3 linked regions of the Arabidopsis thaliana genome follow. Changing the gene in region 1 together with any one later gene gives a genetic interaction. Each region holds a gene or a part of one and is shown on either strand. Other genes may lie near its edges. The genes, in order: GL3, PIR121 and MYB23.

Region 1 (8,556 bases):
ATATATATATATATATATATATATCATATTCCACTAAATTTTCTTGTATGTAATATATATATATATATATATATGATAAATTTATATAAGTATTAATTTATCAAAATAATGGAATTATATGTCTATATATAACTAAACTAAAATAATATATTAATGTTTTATCGAATTAATTGCATCAATTTTGTACACTAATCTAATTTAAGACTATAAATATTTATAGTAATTATTAATTTATCGAATATTAATTTATAAAATATTTTGTTTTTAAAAATATTATTTTATTGATTGCTAAGAGAAAAGAAAAATATAGAGATTGAGGAAACTTAAACGAAGATTGTACAAATTTATAGTGTAGTATTTAAATAACTTCACAATGGTAGATACAAATAGGTAGCTAAATTTTACTTTAATATTAGTAGAGTCTAAGTAAAATAATGCTATAAAAAGCAGGATAAAACAAAAGAGGATACGGGCTTAATGATATAATTAAATAAACGAGGTCTAATGTTCATTATGATTCTCATGGAGACGCAACAAGTAATAACGACAATTTTGGGAAATGACAAAATTATATAGTTGATGGCTTAATTAACGTCGCCAGTGACAATATTGACTCTTGGTCTCTTCTTTATTAATTGTTTCATTAAGCCAAATTAAGTATAATTTTTTGAATTCCCATCCAAATTCATGTGATTCTCTACCTCCTAAGATCCACCATGATCTTTGAATCAAATCATAAACAAGAAGCAAATCAAAAGCCCATTATTTACATAGTTTGACTTCCATTGACTTAGATGAACTATCTTACCTTTTTCTGAACCTTGAGAATTGAGATACATATAAGATGATGATAATATGCCTTATGAGGTGGAAAGTGGAACCACTTATGTTTCATTGTTAAACCAATATAGTATATCCAAATTAAAATATTATTTTCTCAGCTATATCCATATGTCATTTAGTATATGGGAAAACATACAGTTTTTTAACATAGAAGAGAGGATACAAACCAGTTAATAGCAAAATAGTGTCATGCTTCCATTGTCCTATACATAGCATTGAATCTCTCACATCTTCTCGTACATGCCCAAAAGTTTATGATTTTAATGGCCGTGTTTACAACATTATTTCTTCTGTGCCGTCTATGTCAAGAAAATAACAACATAGTATATACCCTATATATATATATATATTACTTCTTTTTTTAATTAGTTCCGTTTATATATATGAAAGAGGTCTTACAGAGGAGCCTTAATGCTCAGATACAATCAAATAAGATAAACATATAGAGACGAGTGTTCTAGTAAGATCAGTAAAGATGTGGTCTAATTTTGTTGGAAATTAGCAAACCATAGCGAAAGATAGGAGTCAGGAGATGGAGTTGTTGAAGTGAAGATGACGTCTTGATCCAAACCAGCAAGGCTTCATCGGATTAGGAGTTGAATTCCCCATTTAACTTGAGTTAGTATTCTGATTGAAAATAACAATATATATTAGTGTTACATAAGTTTGGATCAGACAAATTTTATATTGTTGTATCGAAAGCTATACCAAATTTCCTAAATATTACCCTCAAACATCAACACATCCGATTAATTTACCGAAACCTCCGATCAACAGCACTACGAATGTTTAGACTTTGATCTTGTAGGGGACCGAACGTGTATATATATTTTAATGTTTTCTGACGTCAACGTCTCTCTCTTTTCTAGATGTCAGAAAAGGAAAATAATAAGTACTAATGGTCCATTTAGCAGGGTTTTATTTAAAGTTATATTTTAAATAGTTGCATAAATACTTCGAAAATATAGGTTTAATAGTATAAGAGAATTTTGAAATATAATAATATTGTAAGTATATGACTATAGGGAGAATCAACGTCGAAAATGTCCATAACATTTTTATTCATTTTAAAGATGTGATTGCAAAAATTAAGATTGTGTCTGTACGTATTGGGGGAACTCCTCGAGGCCAAACATTAATTTCGTGTCTTTCTTTGTGTTTCCCAATTTTAGTAAAGACTGTTCTTATATTATCTCTTTCCTCCTCAATTTATCTATTATTGTGTTTGTGACTATAATTTAGATTCATAGCGATTAGCTTCGTTTTGACACCAAGTAAAAAGCTGATGATTTTACTATTATTATATATGTTAATCATATACTCTGATTTGAGACATTATACTTTTGGTCGTTTTGTGTACTTTTGGAAAATTCATAAAACGATGTTACTCACCGACAATAATATATTTCGATCACTCAAATAGTAATAAGACTGATTAGATTATACAAAATGAAAGAAATCATACGATGCTGGTTAGATTGGACTTGGATCACATGCTAATGGTATTCTAGTCAACATTGCTTCAAAGATCTAATAGTCAAGGAAACAAATTTTTTTTTTTTGGTATCAGTGGGGATATTAAGTGAGGGAAACATTTTTTTTCAAGAATAGATGGGTGAAAAGTTCAGCCTTGACGTGATAACATTTTAACTTTAAAATCAGTGTTGGAAGAGACACACAATGATTCAATATTCCCAAAAAAAAGAGATCTCTAGAACCACAAAGAGACTGAATAGAGAATTTATTGAAGACAAGACCACAACAATGGACATTGTAGTTCATTGTCTTAAAAAAAGGTTGTTCTTCCCAAATGAGGAACTAATCAATCAACTTCAAGATAAAAAGAGGAACAATCAATCAACATCAGCGTTTTGCTTTTTTCCTCTACTTTTGTATCCTTTTTTTTTCTCATAAATCATTAAAAAATTATAAGTACTTTTTATTTTCGTCATAAATGTCTTGTGTTTTGTTCTGTACACAACAAAGATGATATCGTCATATTCAAAGAAAAAAAGGATTCGTAGACAGTTCTTCTAGTCTTTCGAGTTCAAGCTCAAACAACAACAAAATTAATATTCAAAACAACATTAATAAAAAAAAAGTATGGAGTGACCAAAGAAAAAAAAAACTCTCAAACATTTCTCTGTTTGTTCCGGCGAAAACGGCAACTGTTTCATCAAATGACAAACACAAAAACCTTAACATCTAGTTTGTATCCTCTCTGATACTTCAAAAAAAATGTAAAGAGTTACAAGTTTCCCTTTTTCTTTCTTTTTTAGGCTATAAATTTAACATAGTATCTTATTTCTTTCTAAATCAGGACAAAAAGTTTGATTTTTTTCTTTTCTTTTCTTTTTCCCTGTGTGTGGTTTCATGGGATATAGGGATGAAGAAACAATGGCTACCGGACAAAACAGAACAACTGTGCCAGAGAATCTGAAGAAACACCTCGCAGTTTCAGTTCGAAACATTCAATGGAGTTATGGTATCTTTTGGTCTGTCTCTGCTTCTCAGTCTGGGTAAGTTTCTTAAATCATATTCATTGAACACTAGATATTGGAGATTTTGAAAGATATTGATGAAGTAAATTTCTTGATTTTAATTGGAAAATTAGATAAAACTTATGTGTTCACTTCAAATCAAAACTAGTGTTTAGTTCTACAACTCAAGACAAGGTTCTCTAGGTTTTTCTTGATTCCATTGATTTTTTCTTATAAACTCATATAAGGTTTCTTGATCTTCTTTAAAAGTTCAATTTTTTTTCTCTTCTTCTTGAAGTTCTTGATTAGTTCAAGAAAATGTTTTGTTTGTTTTCTTTATTCGATTTGATATTTGTTTTTGTTTTTCTATATATAAAAAGAGTTTTAGAATGGGGAGATGGATACTATAATGGAGATATCAAAACGAGGAAGACGATTCAAGCTTCGGAGATCAAAGCTGATCAGCTTGGTCTACGGAGGAGCGAGCAGCTTAGCGAGCTTTACGAGTCTCTCTCCGTCGCTGAATCTTCTTCTTCAGGCGTTGCTGCCGGATCTCAAGTCACCAGACGAGCTTCCGCCGCCGCACTTTCACCGGAAGATCTCGCCGACACCGAGTGGTACTATTTGGTTTGTATGTCTTTCGTCTTCAACATTGGTGAAGGGTAATTCCGTCTTTTCCTCTATCAGCATTGACATTTATTATGTGTCATGATCGTGTTGATCTTTGCCAGTTTTAAACAACGTGCCAAAATATACTTTTAATACTAGTAGGTCCAAGGATTTCGACTTTTATGGTTCAGTTTAGGTTTGTTAGATTTCAGGGTTCTGCAGGAAAAAAGTATGAGCTAGAACCAATTTTTTAGTTTCAGTTTGGTTTCAAAATTTAATGTCCGGATTTGGTCGGTTTCAGATTACAAAAGAAAAAGTTAAAACATAATTAATTTTAAATAATAATGTGTATATATATGCATTAGTATGTTTAACTCTATTCTACATCTAATAAATTTTATTAATTCGGTTTGGTTGCAGTATATTTGTGTTCGATTCGAGTTTAGTTCGGTTTATTTATCATCACAAAAGTTTGTTTCTGTCCGGATTAATTAAAAAATTCGTTTCATTTTGGTCTTTATGAACACGGCTAATTAACTTTCAATAATTATGAATATGTTAGGAAGAAAAAATGTGGAAAAATTAAGCTTAGAATGCATTGCTGCTTTCTAAATGAACCTGTCTTTTTGCAGAATGCCTGGACGGACGTTTGCAAACGGTGAACCGATATGGTTGTGCAACGCTCATACGGCGGATAGTAAAGTGTTTAGCCGTTCTCTTCTAGCAAAAGTAAGTTGTAGTATTGATGTAGTTGCTATGTAACACTTTTTTGCGATTTGAAAACACTAAAATCGTTCGTTTTTGTTTGCGTTTTGTGGTGGTTTAGAGTGCTGCGGTTAAGACAGTGGTTTGCTTCCCGTTCCTTGGAGGAGTCGTTGAGATTGGTACCACAGAACATGTAAGCCAATATTTGTGTTTTCTGCTTCCAATGTTTTAGAATAATTATTATGAAAATCCTTTATTAAGAAAAAAAGAATAATTATAAAATTACCACAATGTATTCTAACATTTCAATTTGACCCTTCAATCTGTCGAATAACGGTATAGACACCAAGAACACACAAACTAATATTTTAGTAGTCTCGATTTTTAAAGATTTCCACGGTTTGGTTATGACAAAACGCGAAAATACGGCTTTTGTACTTTTTACTAGCTCGTTGGTATAGTTATAATTGAAAACTTTTTCAAGGCTTTTTCTTGGTGTGTTTCGTCTCGTAGATTACGGAAGACATGAATGTAATACAATGCGTGAAGACATCATTCCTCGAAGCCCCTGATCCGTACGCTACAATATTACCAGCAAGATCCGATTATCACATCGACAACGTTCTTGATCCGCAACAGATTCTAGGCGACGAGATTTACGCGCCTATGTTCAGTACGGAGCCTTTTCCAACAGCTTCTCCGAGCAGAACTACCAACGGTTTCGATCAAGAACATGAACAAGTAGCAGATGATCATGATTCTTTCATGACCGAAAGAATCACTGGAGGAGCTTCTCAGGTGCAAAGCTGGCAGCTCATGGACGACGAGCTTAGTAACTGCGTTCACCAGTCGCTAAATTCCAGCGATTGCGTCTCTCAAACGTTTGTTGAAGGGGCGGCTGGACGGGTTGCTTACGGTGCAAGAAAGAGTAGAGTTCAAAGACTAGGGCAAATTCAAGAGCAACAGAGAAATGTGAAGACATTGTCATTTGATCCAAGAAACGACGACGTTCATTACCAAAGTGTGATCTCAACGATTTTTAAGACCAACCATCAGTTAATTCTCGGACCGCAGTTTCGAAACTGCGATAAACAGTCAAGCTTCACTAGGTGGAAGAAATCATCGTCATCATCATCAGGAACCGCCACGGTCACGGCACCATCACAAGGAATGTTAAAGAAAATTATTTTCGATGTTCCGCGAGTGCACCAGAAAGAGAAGTTAATGTTGGACTCACCAGAAGCCAGAGATGAAACTGGGAACCATGCGGTTTTAGAGAAGAAGCGCCGCGAGAAATTGAACGAACGGTTCATGACCTTGAGAAAAATCATTCCGTCAATCAACAAGGTATATTTATATAATCGATTCTTCAAAATTTCAAATCCATATATATCGCGAGGTAACTAATCTTATGTTTAACATTTTCGATAGATCGATAAAGTATCGATTCTTGACGATACGATAGAGTATCTTCAAGAACTCGAGAGACGGGTTCAAGAACTAGAATCTTGCAGAGAATCAACCGATACAGAGACTCGTGGGACGATGACGATGAAGAGGAAGAAACCATGCGACGCAGGAGAAAGAACATCAGCTAATTGCGCAAATAATGAAACAGGAAATGGGAAGAAGGTGTCGGTTAACAATGTTGGTGAAGCCGAGCCAGCAGATACCGGTTTTACTGGTTTAACCGATAATTTAAGGATCGGTTCGTTTGGTAATGAGGTGGTTATTGAGCTTAGATGTGCTTGGAGAGAAGGAGTATTGCTTGAGATAATGGATGTGATTAGTGATCTCCATTTGGATTCTCATTCGGTTCAATCCTCGACCGGAGACGGTTTGCTCTGCTTAACCGTCAATTGCAAGGTATACTCTCTAACCTACTTTTGGCTTAACCAGGATTTGGTTAACCTAGATTGACATGAAATGTGTTGGTTTCAGCACAAGGGGTCAAAAATAGCGACACCAGGAATGATCAAAGAAGCACTTCAAAGGGTTGCATGGATCTGTTGAAGACTACTTAGTTAAAATTGACAGCAAAGAAAAAACATTCCCGGTTTGGTTTCTATTCTTTGGTTTTCTTCTAACCGGGTTTTAGGAATTAATGTTATGTTTATCATTTGTTTTTTGTTTTTTTTTTGTGTCTTTTTTTCCGTTGCTTAACGTAGGTGAAGAGGAACATACACTATGCGTATTTTGTTTGAGGTAGATTATTTTAAGGGTATTAGTAATAGTAATAGCCAGTTTAGATGATTTTGTGTTCTTTTGTTGTTTAAGCACAAGGTTGATGTGAAATTACGGGGAAAAAAACATTAATGTGTAAATGAAAATTAGTGGTCAAAAAGCTTCACACGAAACGGGAGAAGATTCTGCATTTTGGCATTTTCATGGATAACAAAGAGGTAAAGTTTATGATAAGAAATCCAGATTAATTTCCTTAACTGGGTCATAAATGATTTCATTGAAATAACATAGTGAAAATCAACAAAAATAAATGCTGTAATATCTTATTTTTACAAATTTAGAGGTGTTGACCAAATTACTTTCTAATTTGCTTTATGTAATTTTACCTATCTAGTCATGTCTTATTATGTTTTACTTACCAACTCATGTTATTCTTTTCGTTTAATATCAAGGATATTTCAAACCCAAACTGAAAATAATCTTCATATATTAATGGAAAACCAGAGTACTCTTATCTTATCATTTAAAATCTTTGTGTTGACAAAAAAATCTTAAACAATAGTATAAAAACATGAATCTTATTCCTTTAAATTCTAAGGTGAATTCTAATTTACTTTCTAATTTGTGTAAAAATATAAAATATAGAAAAATGGGTAAACTTGATTATCAAGAAAAAGATCCAAATTGGAAAGCTAAAATATTGTTATTTAGAAGGTAGAACCAAAATTAATGACTAAAAATATTTTTCTTTGAATAAAATATACCTCATATGGAAAATATTTTTTCAGACAAAAACATAACTCCTTTCCTTTTTAACAGCAAAACCGAAAACATAAATTCAAAGATACATGTCGATTTTACACACAAAGTGTGCGATCAGACAAGACTCAAGGGAGAGATCGAGAATGGTGAAGATGGCCTGAAAATTCTTCTCTCCGGTAAGAACTTGCATTTACATGTTTTTATATATATCTCGGATATTTTTCTTAACTATGTGTGTACTTCTTAGTTCTCGAAAATGTAGTTTACAATAGTTTCTCTTTTGAATTAAGTCGAGATAATCGCAATACTACTCGGGTTTTACTAGATGCATTCTCTATTTACCTGTGTTACAGAGATGAATCCTTAATCTTGTATTTATGGATATGCTTTAAACAGTTTTCCAATTAATATTGGTTTATATTTGTTATCTCCTCGCCTAATATTCCATTGTTTAGAAGAACACTCCCATCTTTTTACAAAGTTGATGATGTGCTGATCCGTAATCCATTTCGATCTACAACAGACTTGTGTTGTTTATAGTTATCCATGTTGTGTTTTTTTATTCTTGCAGCTGTATGAAAAATCTTTGAAAGAAAGGTGCAATCTGTAAGAACAGAGTGAAATTAGACTGAATCTTTAAGAATGGGAGATGAGCCAAGATTCAGTGAGAAATGGGATTTCAGAAGGAAAGAGAACGACTTTGAAGATTCTTCAAGCGATGATCCAGATTCAAACTCGACCCAGCATCCTATCATTCATAACCCAAATCTTGAGTCGAATCAGATTGATAATGGAACAAAAACTGTGACTAGAGAACAACCTGTGAAAACCCGGAAGAGGAGGAGCAAGAAAGATGAGACTAAGCCTGAGAAAGTTAAGCAAGTAAGGAAAAGGAAACCGAAAACTGTTTGTGTGGAGGACAATAAGAAGAAAGATGAAACAGTTATGGGGACGGACGGTGTTGGAACGTTTA
Region 2 (6,681 bases), about 10 Mb from region 1:
TCAAAAACTGCAAGCAATGCACCTGAAACAACAAAAAAGCAAGAAGTTCAAGCACTGGATCTTACCATCTGTTGTTGTACTTAAAATCATCTTGAAATGGACCCAAACCTGTGCTGCTGTTGGGGCAACAGGCCTCGGATAAAAGAAATTCCCTCTGCTTTCATCATTTCCATGTTGTGAAGATGGCATCTCATGTTCGGGCCTGGTATTTGCCATCCAGTCAGCTGAAAGTGTCCGCATATCAGAAAGAATCCTGAAATGCAACCATACATATGATAAGTTAACAATATGCAAAGCTTAAGTTTAAGAGAACATGGACTTGAAACAGAAAGAAAATAAAGGAAAACCAATTCACCTTGAGAGATCTTTCTTCTTTCGGAAGGTGGTACGCAACATTGTGGCTAACGTGTTCTGTACAAAATCTTGAACTTCGGCATGTATTGTCTCCCATAAAGCATCTGCAACTAATGTGTCACAGCGCTGCAGCATCGATCCTACACTCTTTATATAGCCAACAAGTTCTACCAAGGCTTTCCTTTCTTCTGCAGTATAATTGAACCTCACCACCTATTTAAAAGAATCCAAAACTTGTTACCATAAAAGATAAAACTTTTCGAAAATATTTCACAAGTATTACCTTCTCGTAATCAGAATATGATCCGGAGGCTTCAGGAGTCTCTCCTGCATCCCTACATGGGCGAGAGAATTTCCAAGCACATTGCTCCCAAATGCGTGCTGTCCATCTACTTAACAGTTGGAAACCTTCAACAACCATATCGTACATGTTTCCTTTGACCTCTCTGCACCATTCAGTATATGCTCCATCGTTTGACTTCAACAGCAATAACTGCATGAAAGCAAGTGAGAACAACATCCTAGAGACTCAAAATAAGAACAAGAAAATTGGAGCTCCAGGGATAGAGATAGCTTGAGCACCTGATTCATGGATGAAGCAAATCGGATTGTGAAATCGTCATGCTCAGCACGGAGAGCTCCAATGTGATTGACTATCAAATAGTGCCTCTGATATGTAAAATATGTTAAGGCTTGCAATTTTCAAAGCATGTGTACGGTTAACAATAATCCAGATAATAGTTAAAATAGGCAAGTAACAGTGAAAATATTAAAGGATATTCTAGCGCTTCACGTGGAGGGAGCTCATGAGGTGCTGGAAGAGTCAGAAGGCGAGTCTGTGATGAAAACTTTTGAAAGTATACCGACAATTCTTTCAAAATTGCAGCAGGAGAAAGATGGAGATCTGGAAACGCAGGAATGACAGGATCATTCTGATAGCCGAAAAACACACAACAAATATGACAATTAGCGACTTGGAAACAAGGCTTTGCGGTATATTGGTTGTGAATGCGAAAACAGGTATAACATGAATCTCAATACCTTGAAAATGTTTATCAATCTGTTGAGTTTTACCCTCTTGTATAAAGCCTCGGTATCTTTCTCAGATGGTGTTGCTAAGACAACAAGAACAGGTAGAACCCGGAGAAGAATATACCGCTCAGGAAAAAGTAGTGCAAAATCCAACTCCAGAGACTCCACGATGAAGACTATGAGAACTTGGAGAATATCTTCCACACTGAATTTACTAAGGAATCCAAAAGCTTGCAATATAGTCAAATGGCACAAGGGACTTGAGCAGCATGCATATCTCAGATAGACAAACCCATAATAATGTCTTTAACAGCCACACGATGGTGATAAATGTCTGGAAGAAAGGATACTTGTTTACACGGAACATCTCAACGTGCAGGTTGAGTAAAATAGCCCATCTTGTGCTCAGGAAGATCTGCATACATAAGAACTCACATTTTCATTTACGACAAACCACAGGGGAAGGCATTATCAAATGATTGCATAAACAAGCCATGCAAACACCTGCAAGTCGTCTAACTCTTCTCTCATTGTATCTGTATCTTGCCACTGCGCACTGACTTGAGTGAATGTTCTGAAAAGAGTGAAACTATCTTAAGAACATAAACTAAAAAAAAAAGCTTCTAGGAAACTAATTCAACTCTTAAATAGAGCTTTAGTAGCTGAAAGGATTAGTAACAAACATCGATCTACCTACATTCAAGTGTCCTATTTGCAGAAAATATAGATAGGAAAGATAAAAGTATTATATCTTTCACCTCTTATACCAAGAGAAATCATTAGGAATGCTAGCTTTAGCATTTTTAAGATGATCCAGCTGAACCAAGACGTCAAGCAACTTTAGCATTGACCTATATTAAGTAAAATCACAGTTAAACTATATACACGAGGAAAGTTAATCATCCAAGGATCTAATACAAAACACAAAATAAGAGTTATAACCCACCAAAGATGTGTGACTGTGGGACCATTGATCCGCCGTTCAGGTCTGGAAAACCGCTGCATGTCAGCAGCTAACTGCACAGACAGAGAATATACGCACATTATTTCTGATACAGGAATTTATATAAAACGAGTTGGACGAGGAAGGATATACACCGCACTTTAGCTGAAGCCGACGATTGCCATCTTTGAATTTCGCGTAAACGGCTCATTTCTAAGTCCAAAACTTGATATGTTTCTAGATACAAATCCGCTTGACTATGCTTCATAGATTCGGGAAGCTGCATGTATATCATTAATAAAGAAAGTTATGTGTGTTATGGAAGAAATATACACAACAACACCCAGCAAGAAGTACTGTATTTGATATTATTTTCAGTAATTTCTATCATTCGCTATTATTTATACAGAGAACTTTGTTGTTGCTTTTATTTTTGCATTATAACTGCATTATACTTTGTAGTTCAAAAAAGAGTCTCGTACAGTTGCTACGAGATTTCGAATACCATGAAGAACTAACGCATAGCATAATTCTCAAAGCTACATTTTATCAGATAAAATGTCTAAAGGTAGATATGCAATGGAGACAAGGAGTGTAGTGATAGATTTCACAAGGACCTGAGGCAGTGCTTTGACACAACTTCTATATGTGTATAGAATTGACGCCATCTCTTTTCCTTCTTGTATAAGTGTATTCTGCATATATACAATTGGTTGAAAACTTACTTGAAGTATTCAAATATAACACGATTAACACAACATAACCGTAAAAATATCAAATCGTAATTTAATCAGTCTTTCTAAGATGAGGCAAATGAAGAAGAATAGCCATATACCAGCTGGTTAAGAGCTTTTGTGTCTTCTGATAGAGACAACCGGTATGCAGCGACGTCACTATATTCTACAGAATAGTAATAAAAAAAAAAACATCTTGATTATTTGGATTTTATGGTAAAAGAGTGACAAGAGAACAATGAAGCATACCGATGGGACTATCGGTTGCTGCTCTTTCAGCTGAAACCATCACAGCCGGTCCTTGGACTTCTGGTTGCTCATCCTATAACCAAAATTCAAAATGCTTCAAGAAAATGTACTAGAGTGACTTCAAATTTTTCAAGAAGCTACTTAAATCTTCAACATTTCGTTGAAACTTATTTTACTGCTAACTTAGGCAAAGATCCACAGGTGATTAAACAATATATGTGATAATTTTACACGAAAAGGATTTAACAAGAAATAGAAACAATAATTTCATATCCTTTCTAGAAGAAAATTTTGAAATATGAACTCCGGAAAGAAAATTTGTAGTCAAAAGGATCCAAAGACCCACAATTTCTAAATTTTACCAAAATCTAGAATATCGAAGTTACCTCTAAGGAGAATGTGGAAAGAGCTGCGATTGCTTCCTCTACAGGAACCGCCATTGAGTCACCTGGAAAGATCAGACGAAGCAATTAGCAACATTGGGCGACTAAAGGATAAAGCTTTCAACTTTAAGGCTCTTACCCAACAACAATGGAGAGGAGAGGAGAGCTGCTACTACTTCAAGTCAATTGATTCGCCTTTCTTCTGATTCTTTACGGACAGAGATCGATAAATTCGCTACTACTCTGTCCGAACCAAATATTTCGCAAAGTTGGAAGCTTTCTTTTTCTATTTGTTTTTCTGTAACAAAAAAAAAATGTTTCTTTTTGGGTCCTCGTTTGTATTTTCACCTTTCAGAATTTTTCTTTAGTACATATTTGTTCAATCCGATTAAAGCTTTGAGAAGAAGCATTACATTTGTGTCTTTACTATGAAGCAAACTTGATGACAGCTAAATCATTATTTACTGATTCCTTTATCCTCAACCATTTCTTATTTTGGGAAAATACATAAGAGTAATACCAGTAACAAAACAAAATAGATATAAATACAATTTTACAGTGAACAACTACTGAACATAAAATAAGTTACTTTGTAGAATCAGTAACAACTTTTAAGGTTTAACCGGAGCCTTAAACCAATCCGGATAAGAACCAGCAGGTGTTGGTGCTATCGGTGTGAGCATGTAAACCGTTCACGGTTAAGTGTTAGTAGCCTAATGGAAAGGACATGCCGTCTAAGTCTAACCAGAAATTTTTGTTGTAAAAACATATGAATTGAGAATGAAACTCTAGAAAAAGCGAAAACTGTCTTGGATTCAAAATAAAGTACTTTCTTTAGCTACAAAAATAGGGAATACAATAAAATGGAGACGAAGATGATTAGAAGAAGAAGAAGAAGAAGAAAGAGTAAATTATTCATCCAATTGTTTCAAAAGCCTGAAGAGACCAGCTGCTTCTCGAACCCGAGAAAACTCAATGCAGAAAGCTTGAACTTCTATGAATAGATCCTTCACTGTTACATTTTTTACCCAAAAAAAACATATATCACCCACAATTGTACATCATACTAATAGACTATAAAAGCTTCCTCTGTGAATGTATCTAGTGATCTTTCTGTGTTATTAGCAAAGCAAAACGCCTAATTTGATAGCAATCAGTCAGAAACAGAGAATGCATACCGTTGATGATCTTGTTACGAATTAAGCTTTGCAAGAAGACGCAAACAAGCCGTACAAGCCTATTCTGCATGTATTTGTCTTGCTGCTACAGATCGAAAACAATATATCACTATACCGTTAACAAAACAACTACATTGAAATCAACAAATCCGAGAATCATATACACAAAGCACATAATGCAAAGCACAAGCAGAAGTTTTTTCACACAAGATTATAGGATGGCGTTATGGATACTCATAGAAAGCTTTGTTTTAAGTACCTAACGGGAAATCAAAAGGACGCTTTGTTTTAATACCTTAGCGTTCTCACAAGACGATATGCAATTAGTGATGTACATCCGTATGAAGTCCTTGGGAAGTTCAACTGCAGTTGTGAGCCTATTCACAACTTCCATTGAGTGCAGGCTCATGTCCATATTTCCTAGAGCTTCATAATAGCTGAAGAAGCATTCTTAGATTCCCACTTTAAAAGTTATAATTTTGGTCGAAAGTAAATGGTGGAACCAATAAGGTGATGACTTACTCATTAATCTCTGTGGAGTTATTCAACTTGGTGAGAATTTCAACTGCTATCTGAGGATTGTGCTCTACTAATTGCTGAGAATAAGAAACTAGATCACATGAAAAAAAGAAAAAAGAAAAAAACCACCTGCCAGAAAATGAATCACATACCGGCAGCTTCCGTGGAGTTATTCCGCAGTGAAAGACAAGCTTTGGGTCATTTGCCAATTCTGTAATGATGTCCTGGCCAGTAAATAAATAAAACAAGTTATTTCAATCACTCAAAAGATCCAGGTTTTCTAAATTCATCAGCTATACGGGCAAGGCTGATGAAATAAAACATCACAATCACTATTTATCTATTGCACGGTTATTTTCCATAAACTCTTACTGCAGTCAATTCCTTCTTAATATCCTAGATCTTTAAATCCAATGAGAAAGGAAATACTAGAGTGATAGCACGAGCACGACTTCTCTCTCAAAACTACTGCCATACAATGGCTGCCTTTACAACCTTTAAAATTTGTGCATATGTAGTTACTGTCCCATTGCTATGTTAACTTGCTTATAAGTGTTAGAGTAAGATAGGTAATAAAATGGTCAATACTTGTATGATTTTATGCGCATATCAAGAATTAACGAGCGATAACATACCTCTTGCTCCGTAGGTGAAAGTGTCACCTTTAAACCCTTAACAAGCAAGTCTCTAACTGTTGCACCACTGCTAGTATCAGCACACATTTTATCGTCCCAAACAAGCTCATGCTTGTTATCAGGGTCAATCCAAAGCAACTGTAAGAAGTTGAACCATTTAGGTCAGTTCGATAATTTTCTGAACCAGTTGAATAAGGGGTTATTCTTATTTTTACCTCGCTCTGATGAACTGGGTACCTTGGTGGACATGGACGGATCCACCTAGGACCTAATCCCCCCATTGTCAAATTTCCTAAGAATCCAGATAGTGCCTCATCCCTATCACCAGATCCAATTCTGGGATTCACTCCAGCTTGCACATCAAACCTATAAGATTATTTGACTCAATGATCATTCATACAATCAACTTCAAATTGGCACATTAATTATAACACAGAACATTAAGCTTGGAGGAAAACTGGAAGCTTGAAAGAAATAGATCAGATTCAACTGTATATAACAGTTAGAAAGAAACAGAATCCCCTGACTCATAGGTTACGTACTCTGGAGAGTTAGGATCACACCCACGAGGAACATCAGGATCATGCAATAGCTTTTTCAGGGAATAGTCTGCAAAAATGTGACTAGATGGTCCAGGATCGGCTTTGTCGCCAT
Region 3 (5,898 bases), 400 kb from region 1:
GCTCTATACAGAAATTTAAAATAATAAATGAATGCAATGAGATGAAATGTAAGAAGCAAAAACAGTTTAATTACACAATTTAATGGTTAATTTCTATTTTTTTTTTCTTTTTCTAATAATATATAACTAAAGTATCATTTGACAAATGCATTTAAGAAAGGAAATTATATTTTAGTAAATAACAAAATAAAGATTATAAAAGGGTATAGTTGTTCTTGGATATATACTTTAAGATTATGCCTATTTTGGAGAAATTTCTCTCATGAAATATTTTAGGAAGATCCTTTATGATTATATAATATCATATTTATGATACCATTTCTTAATATAGTAATTTATGTTTATTGAAAATTTTATCCCATGCAATGTCAAAACCTAGTAGAGAATTAAGATTGCTTAGCTTATTTTTTAGTCTATAGGACTTTACGAATACAATGTATGAAATACGAATGTTAGTGTAGTTAATTAATAGATTAGATGATCAACATCAACTAGTTGGGTTGATCTGAAAGTAAGTTTTGGAATTAAAAGGATCTATAGGTCCTATATCATTAATTATCCATAAAACTAATAAAAGTAGGCTAAATCAAGTGGAAGCTATAATCTATAGACGTACATAATTCATATGCCCGACATAATATATTTAGTGTAGTGATTATCATATTACATTACTGTCTAGAGTTTGGTATCACGGATACTTATGTTTTTGTATCAAAGATGTTTAATTCTATAGTTTAGTTATAACTTATAACTGATAACATTGTTTGGAGAATAGTAACTATTCTTAAAGCAAATTTTACATGTTAAACTCTTTTGTTTTTGTTTTTTTTTGTCAAAGTTGTGTATTCCTATTTCCTGAACAAAACTATTATATACAGACTATATTCGTATATTATATTTTTTGTTGTCAAAGTTGTATTTTCCTGTTTCATACTATATATATCGACTTCAACTCCCTCCATTGGGATCCGATCCAAAAAATAATACTCATATGAACATATACACACATGACATATTGACATATCTTAGCTGGATGAGCCAGAGGATCTTCTATGTTTGGTATTAATATAAAAAGTAAAAACTGCCTACTGTCTATCCCAAGGGAATATTATTGTGTCCAATAGTAATTACCTTCCTTTTTTTCAATTTTCACTTCTACTTAACTTGTTAGTTGGGATACACATGTCTACCTAGACATATCTTGTTACAGTTTTTACATACTTTATTAGATATGGATAAATTTGGTTATAAATAAATCCCAGATTTTTCTTTCAAAACATATTTACTATCAATACATTTTTAAAATGAAAAACAAAATGTGAGGCTTGAGTATAACATATGTAAAACAGGTGTAAAAAAGTAAGGAAACAGATATAGATATATAGTGTTACAAAAAAATATAATACAAATTTAATTTAATTTATAACTTTTGGTAAATTATAACGAGCAAGAAATTTGAAACTCGGAATATGAAGTAAATTATTTCGTTAGATCAATAAAATATTTTTCTAACGGGTGTTAACACACACCACAATTTTACGTGGACGTTTTTGCTCTTAAATCTCAACTAAATTTTAGATTTTTAATTTTTAGGCAAAGCGTTTCCAAATCTTTCTTATAAGAAAATATACAATAGAAGAAACATAGTACACCGTTTTCAACTAATAGTTGAGGAATATTGAGTTTATTCGGATCACATATTTTTAGTATTGTTCAACCAAAACCAACAAGATAGAGAGTCAACAAGCCCTTCCAGTTCTTTATATAGTTTCCCTACTAAATCCATCTATTAATCAATTTGAGAACAAACTCTTCAAATCCTCTATCTCCTTTTTTGATAAAAACATATTTTTACTTTGCCACAACTAACTAATACTATACTTTATTTTATTTGATGAATTCTCTCATATATTAGTAAGAAGAACATGTTGTCTATATCTACACCCGTTTAAATGGTTAAATCAATTTCGTTAGGTTGACTTATTGGTAAAAGAATGTAGGGATTGACTTTACCATATACGGACTTTTTGGAGAGACAACAGCAAACAAAACAAACATGTCCTTACGTATATATATATACGCACATATACATGTAAACAAAACAATATATACGTCACACGAATCATATATATATATAGAGTCAGGCTCGACTAATCATCACCGACTCAGCCACTTTCTCTCTCTCTCTCTCTCTCTCTCTCTCTCTCTCTCTCTCTCTCTCTCTCTCTCTCTCTCTCTCTCTCTCTCTCTCTCTCTCCTCGGGATCAAGAAAAGTGAAGAAGAATGAGAATGACAAGAGATGGAAAAGAACATGAATACAAGAAAGGTTTATGGACAGTGGAAGAAGACAAGATCCTCATGGATTATGTCCGAACTCATGGCCAGGGCCACTGGAACCGCATCGCCAAGAAAACTGGTATTTATACTCTCTCTTTCTATTATAGTACTCTCTTATTTCTTCTGGTATACTTGCTCTTACTTCTCTCTTTCTTGTCCTAAGAAATAAAAATTAGTACTAAAGATTGAAACTTTTGATGATAATTAGGGCTCAAGAGATGTGGGAAAAGCTGTAGGTTGAGATGGATGAACTACTTAAGCCCTAATGTTAACAGAGGCAATTTTACTGACCAAGAAGAAGATCTCATCATCAGACTCCACAAGCTCCTCGGCAACAGGTTCTTTTTTTTCTCCATATATTCAAAGATATATATTTGCTTAATTTTCTTTTATACAATTCTAATAGTATTATATATGTTAGATCATGTGTTTTGTTGTTCGGTGCTGCATTCACGTGAATCTTTAAATTGTTTATATGTGTACAGCTTGCTAGCTATATATCACATATATCTAATCCATAATTTATATATTTATAATATATGTTTTGTTGTTCGATCCTTAGTTCACGGTAATCTCTAAATTGTTTATTATTATTTATTTATTTTTGGTTGAAACATCTCTAAATTGTTTAGTTGTGATATAGATTACTTATATTTAACTGATATATTATATTCATTTATTCATAAAATAAGTGTATTTTATTAAGCTACTATTTACAAACGTCCACAAAGCAAATAATGGTTATTCAAAAATAGTAGTAAGAAACGGATCGTAAATTTGAATCAAAAATCTTAGATCTGTCCTTTGTTTTTTCGGCCATTAATTTGTATAGCTAGGTTTCTATTCAAAAAATATGCTTTCTCGAACCTAACAATGATTCATAATTGTACTCATTTATGGATCATCTGTATATATATACACATGTCTCATATAAACATCTACAACATACATAATCTGGCTACATGTATTACGCACATGCTCTATATAGGTCCATGCATAAGCATTAACTCCGTTTTACAAGATTTCTTGTTTCAAAAGTTTGCCACATATTTATAGCACATTCGAAAATCCATATAGTGTATAATACAATATTTATTTATTATAATTGAAGATTAAGAGACCACAAATAAAAATATTAATCTAACATCGTAAATTCTTTTAATATTTAGATGGTCGTTGATAGCGAAAAGAGTTCCGGGAAGAACAGACAACCAAGTAAAGAATTACTGGAACACACATCTCAGCAAGAAACTTGGTCTCGGAGATCATTCAACTGCCGTCAAAGCCGCATGCGGTGTAGAGTCTCCACCGTCTATGGCCCTTATAACCACAACGTCCTCCTCTCATCAAGAGATCTCCGGTGGAAAAAATTCAACTCTAAGGTTCGACACTTTAGTTGACGAATCCAAACTCAAACCAAAATCCAAACTAGTCCACGCAACACCAACTGACGTAGAAGTTGCAGCTACGGTTCCAAATCTGTTCGATACCTTTTGGGTTCTTGAAGACGACTTCGAGCTTAGTTCACTCACTATGATGGATTTTACTAATGGGTATTGCCTTTGAATATCTTTGATGATTAGCTTCTAAAAAGTAATTAATTATCGAATAATAGATTATAATGAACAATAATAATAATATGAATACAATTAAATTTTTTTCCGAATATTTGCTTGTAGCTTTTGTACTTTCTTTTGTAAAAGTAAGGATGATCAGTTGATAAAAAAATCTTATACTAGAAAGTTATTTGGTTATGTCCCTAATGTAACCAACTTAAATATCCTATTAGTTTACAAGTTAAGTGTTTATACTTCTACTTCATTCGTACATTGGCGTTCACATAAGATTTTCCGTATTTTGTACAGAAAAGAACAACTTAATCAAATTAAAGTGATAACTAGTGCATTTTCAGCTGTGAAAACTAACTCTTGGTTTCTATATCTAATTCTGGATTCTCCAAAAAAAAGGTCAATCCTAACTTTTAGTGTAGTGGAAAATACAGACTACCAATATCTAATTTATACTGTATCATTTAGTTTGGCATCTTTCTAATAATGATTTATACTCGAACATTTATAAATAAATGGTATAGTTTTAATATGTGAGAAAATCTAAAATGATAAAAGGAGAGTAAAATATAATCTTCGCTTGCATAAGGTCGGAAATTTTTTCATTTTAAGTCAACAAATATGGTCAACCGAGATAATCCAGCTGTTACAAGCCTTGATTCTACGTATCACCCGCTTGTAAGATTTTTATAAAATGAATGAGGTCTTGTCAGGTTAGGCTCTTTGTGTCTCTTAATTATACATTAATTACATTGACTAATGTTAGAGTTCTGAAATCAATGACGATTAATCTATCATACATATTCATACTTTAGATAAGACCAGACCTCGTACGTTGGAATTTGAAAGTTAGTTGAAGAAGCCAAGACTGTTAGAGATTATTTTTTCTGGTTGACTTAAATAAATTGTTCCAACAAAAAAGTAAACCAAATCATTAAAACGTATTTATGTCTTAAAATTAAAACCAATCACGTTAACGTGACTTGGTAGATTTCGTGACAGCAATGGATATCTTGAATTCTCATCTTTTATTTATGAATTGAGGAGCAATATAATCATCTCACATTTATTTTGTAAGAATTTATCATTTTATGTCATTTATTTACTAAATAATTTTATATTTTATTCATATTTAGGCATTTTAATTGTTTCATAATTTTATTATTATCATAGATGTGATAAACTAAAAAATAGTAGATATATTGTCCCGTTATTTTTTCTTATGTATGTATTTTACTGCACATAAATTAATCTTCTGAATTTTTTATTTTTTATTTTTTTTTAATTTTGGTAAAAGGTGAAATTTTATACCATTTTTGTTTTTGACAGAATTACAAGGAAAAGTAGAAGCAGAACAAAACAATTTACAGAAAATTAAAGAACAACATTACAACTCTAATTGCAAAGGATCGCCGATGAGTGATCAAGGCCAAGTTAGGAGGAGAAACACCGATTCCGAGTCCGCGAAGCTCGGAAATTTGCGTTGTTGCCGCAGTACCGAAGTATTGGAATCCTCATCCTAGTTGCCACGAGCATGATTATTCAAGGTCCGTCCACAAAACCTCAAAGATAGAAGTCTACAGCTTCTCCGAGAACTAACGCAAAAACGAACAAGCAAACATGAACAAGCAAACATGATTAAGCCTAATGTTCTGAATTTGATAATTGAATTTGAAATTGGCCAAATATCTTAATTAACTCTTATACATTATCTGGATACATTTTTTGTGATCAATCAAATGGTTGAATTTGTTCATTGTCTTAGAACATTTATGTTGTTGGATCACTAATTAGCATTACGTAAATGATTCAGTCTCGACGAGACTCCCTTTCTAATAAAAATCTCCAACCTCCCTCTTTGTATGGCTTCATCAAACATTCAATACTCGTCGAAAGGATTTTGAAAATTTTGTTTGTAATATAATAAAATTAGTGGGCTTTCAAGAGAGTGATAAACCAAAAGCCCACTAATGGGTTTAGTATCAAAGTTGGT

What was found.
Region 2: changes in GL3 (region 1) and PIR121 impair growth when combined (synthetic growth defect), as found in Arabidopsis thaliana (one study listed by BioGRID).
Region 3: of GL3 (region 1) and MYB23, changing one suppresses a phenotype caused by changing the other (phenotypic suppression), as found in Arabidopsis thaliana (one study listed by BioGRID).

What each region holds. Positions count from the first base shown.
Region 1 is NC_003076.8:16,526,217-16,534,772, forward strand, and holds GL3 (basic helix-loop-helix (bHLH) DNA-binding superfamily protein), read left to right. Parts: upstream 1-2,873; 5' UTR 2,874-3,081; coding exon of another isoform or gene 3,082-3,083; 5' UTR 3,084-3,216; coding exon 3,217-3,362; intron 3,363-3,703; coding exon 3,704-3,985; intron 3,986-4,564; coding exon 4,565-4,661; intron 4,662-4,758; coding exon 4,759-4,830; intron 4,831-5,150; coding exon 5,151-5,984; intron 5,985-6,068; coding exon 6,069-6,503; intron 6,504-6,578; coding exon 6,579-6,650; 3' UTR 6,651-7,071; downstream 7,072-8,556. Other genes in the region: AT5G41320 (stress response NST1-like protein), read left to right, coding at 8,226-8,556. UniProt on the Arabidopsis thaliana protein: Transcription activator, when associated with MYB75/PAP1, MYB90/PAP2 or TT2. Involved in epidermal cell fate specification.
Region 2 is NC_003076.8:6,101,032-6,107,712, forward strand, and holds the start of PIR121 (transcription activator), read right to left. Parts: upstream 3,950-6,681; 5' UTR 3,835-3,949; intron 3,761-3,834; 5' UTR 3,753-3,760; coding exon 3,699-3,752; intron 3,386-3,698; coding exon 3,313-3,385; intron 3,230-3,312; coding exon 3,165-3,229; intron 3,025-3,164; coding exon 2,947-3,024; intron 2,610-2,946; coding exon 2,490-2,609; intron 2,404-2,489; coding exon 2,333-2,403; intron 2,238-2,332; coding exon 2,145-2,237; intron 1,961-2,144; coding exon 1,891-1,960; intron 1,802-1,890; coding exon 1,737-1,801; intron 1,592-1,736; coding exon 1,396-1,591; intron 1,287-1,395; coding exon 1,135-1,286; intron 1,031-1,134; coding exon 937-1,030; intron 848-936; coding exon 638-847; intron 568-637; coding exon 356-567; intron 254-355; coding exon 109-253; intron 23-108; coding exon 1-22. Other genes in the region: AT5G18420 (CCR4-NOT transcription complex subunit), read right to left, coding at 4,607-4,707, 4,874-4,958, 5,169-5,310, 5,396-5,469, 5,545-5,616, 6,028-6,165, 6,243-6,393, 6,570-6,681. UniProt on the Arabidopsis thaliana protein: Involved in regulation of actin and microtubule organization. Part of a WAVE complex that activates the ARP2/3 complex. Interacts with the active form of RHO-family GTPases.
Region 3 is NC_003076.8:16,125,566-16,131,463, forward strand, and holds MYB23 (myb domain protein 23), read left to right. Parts: upstream 1-2,159; 5' UTR 2,160-2,283; coding exon 2,284-2,416; intron 2,417-2,545; coding exon 2,546-2,675; intron 2,676-3,506; coding exon 3,507-3,903; 3' UTR 3,904-4,096; downstream 4,097-5,898. UniProt on the Arabidopsis thaliana protein: Transcription activator, when associated with BHLH2/EGL3/MYC146 or BHLH12/MYC1. Regulates the epidermal cell fate specification. Mediates the formation of columellae and accumulation of mucilages on seed coats.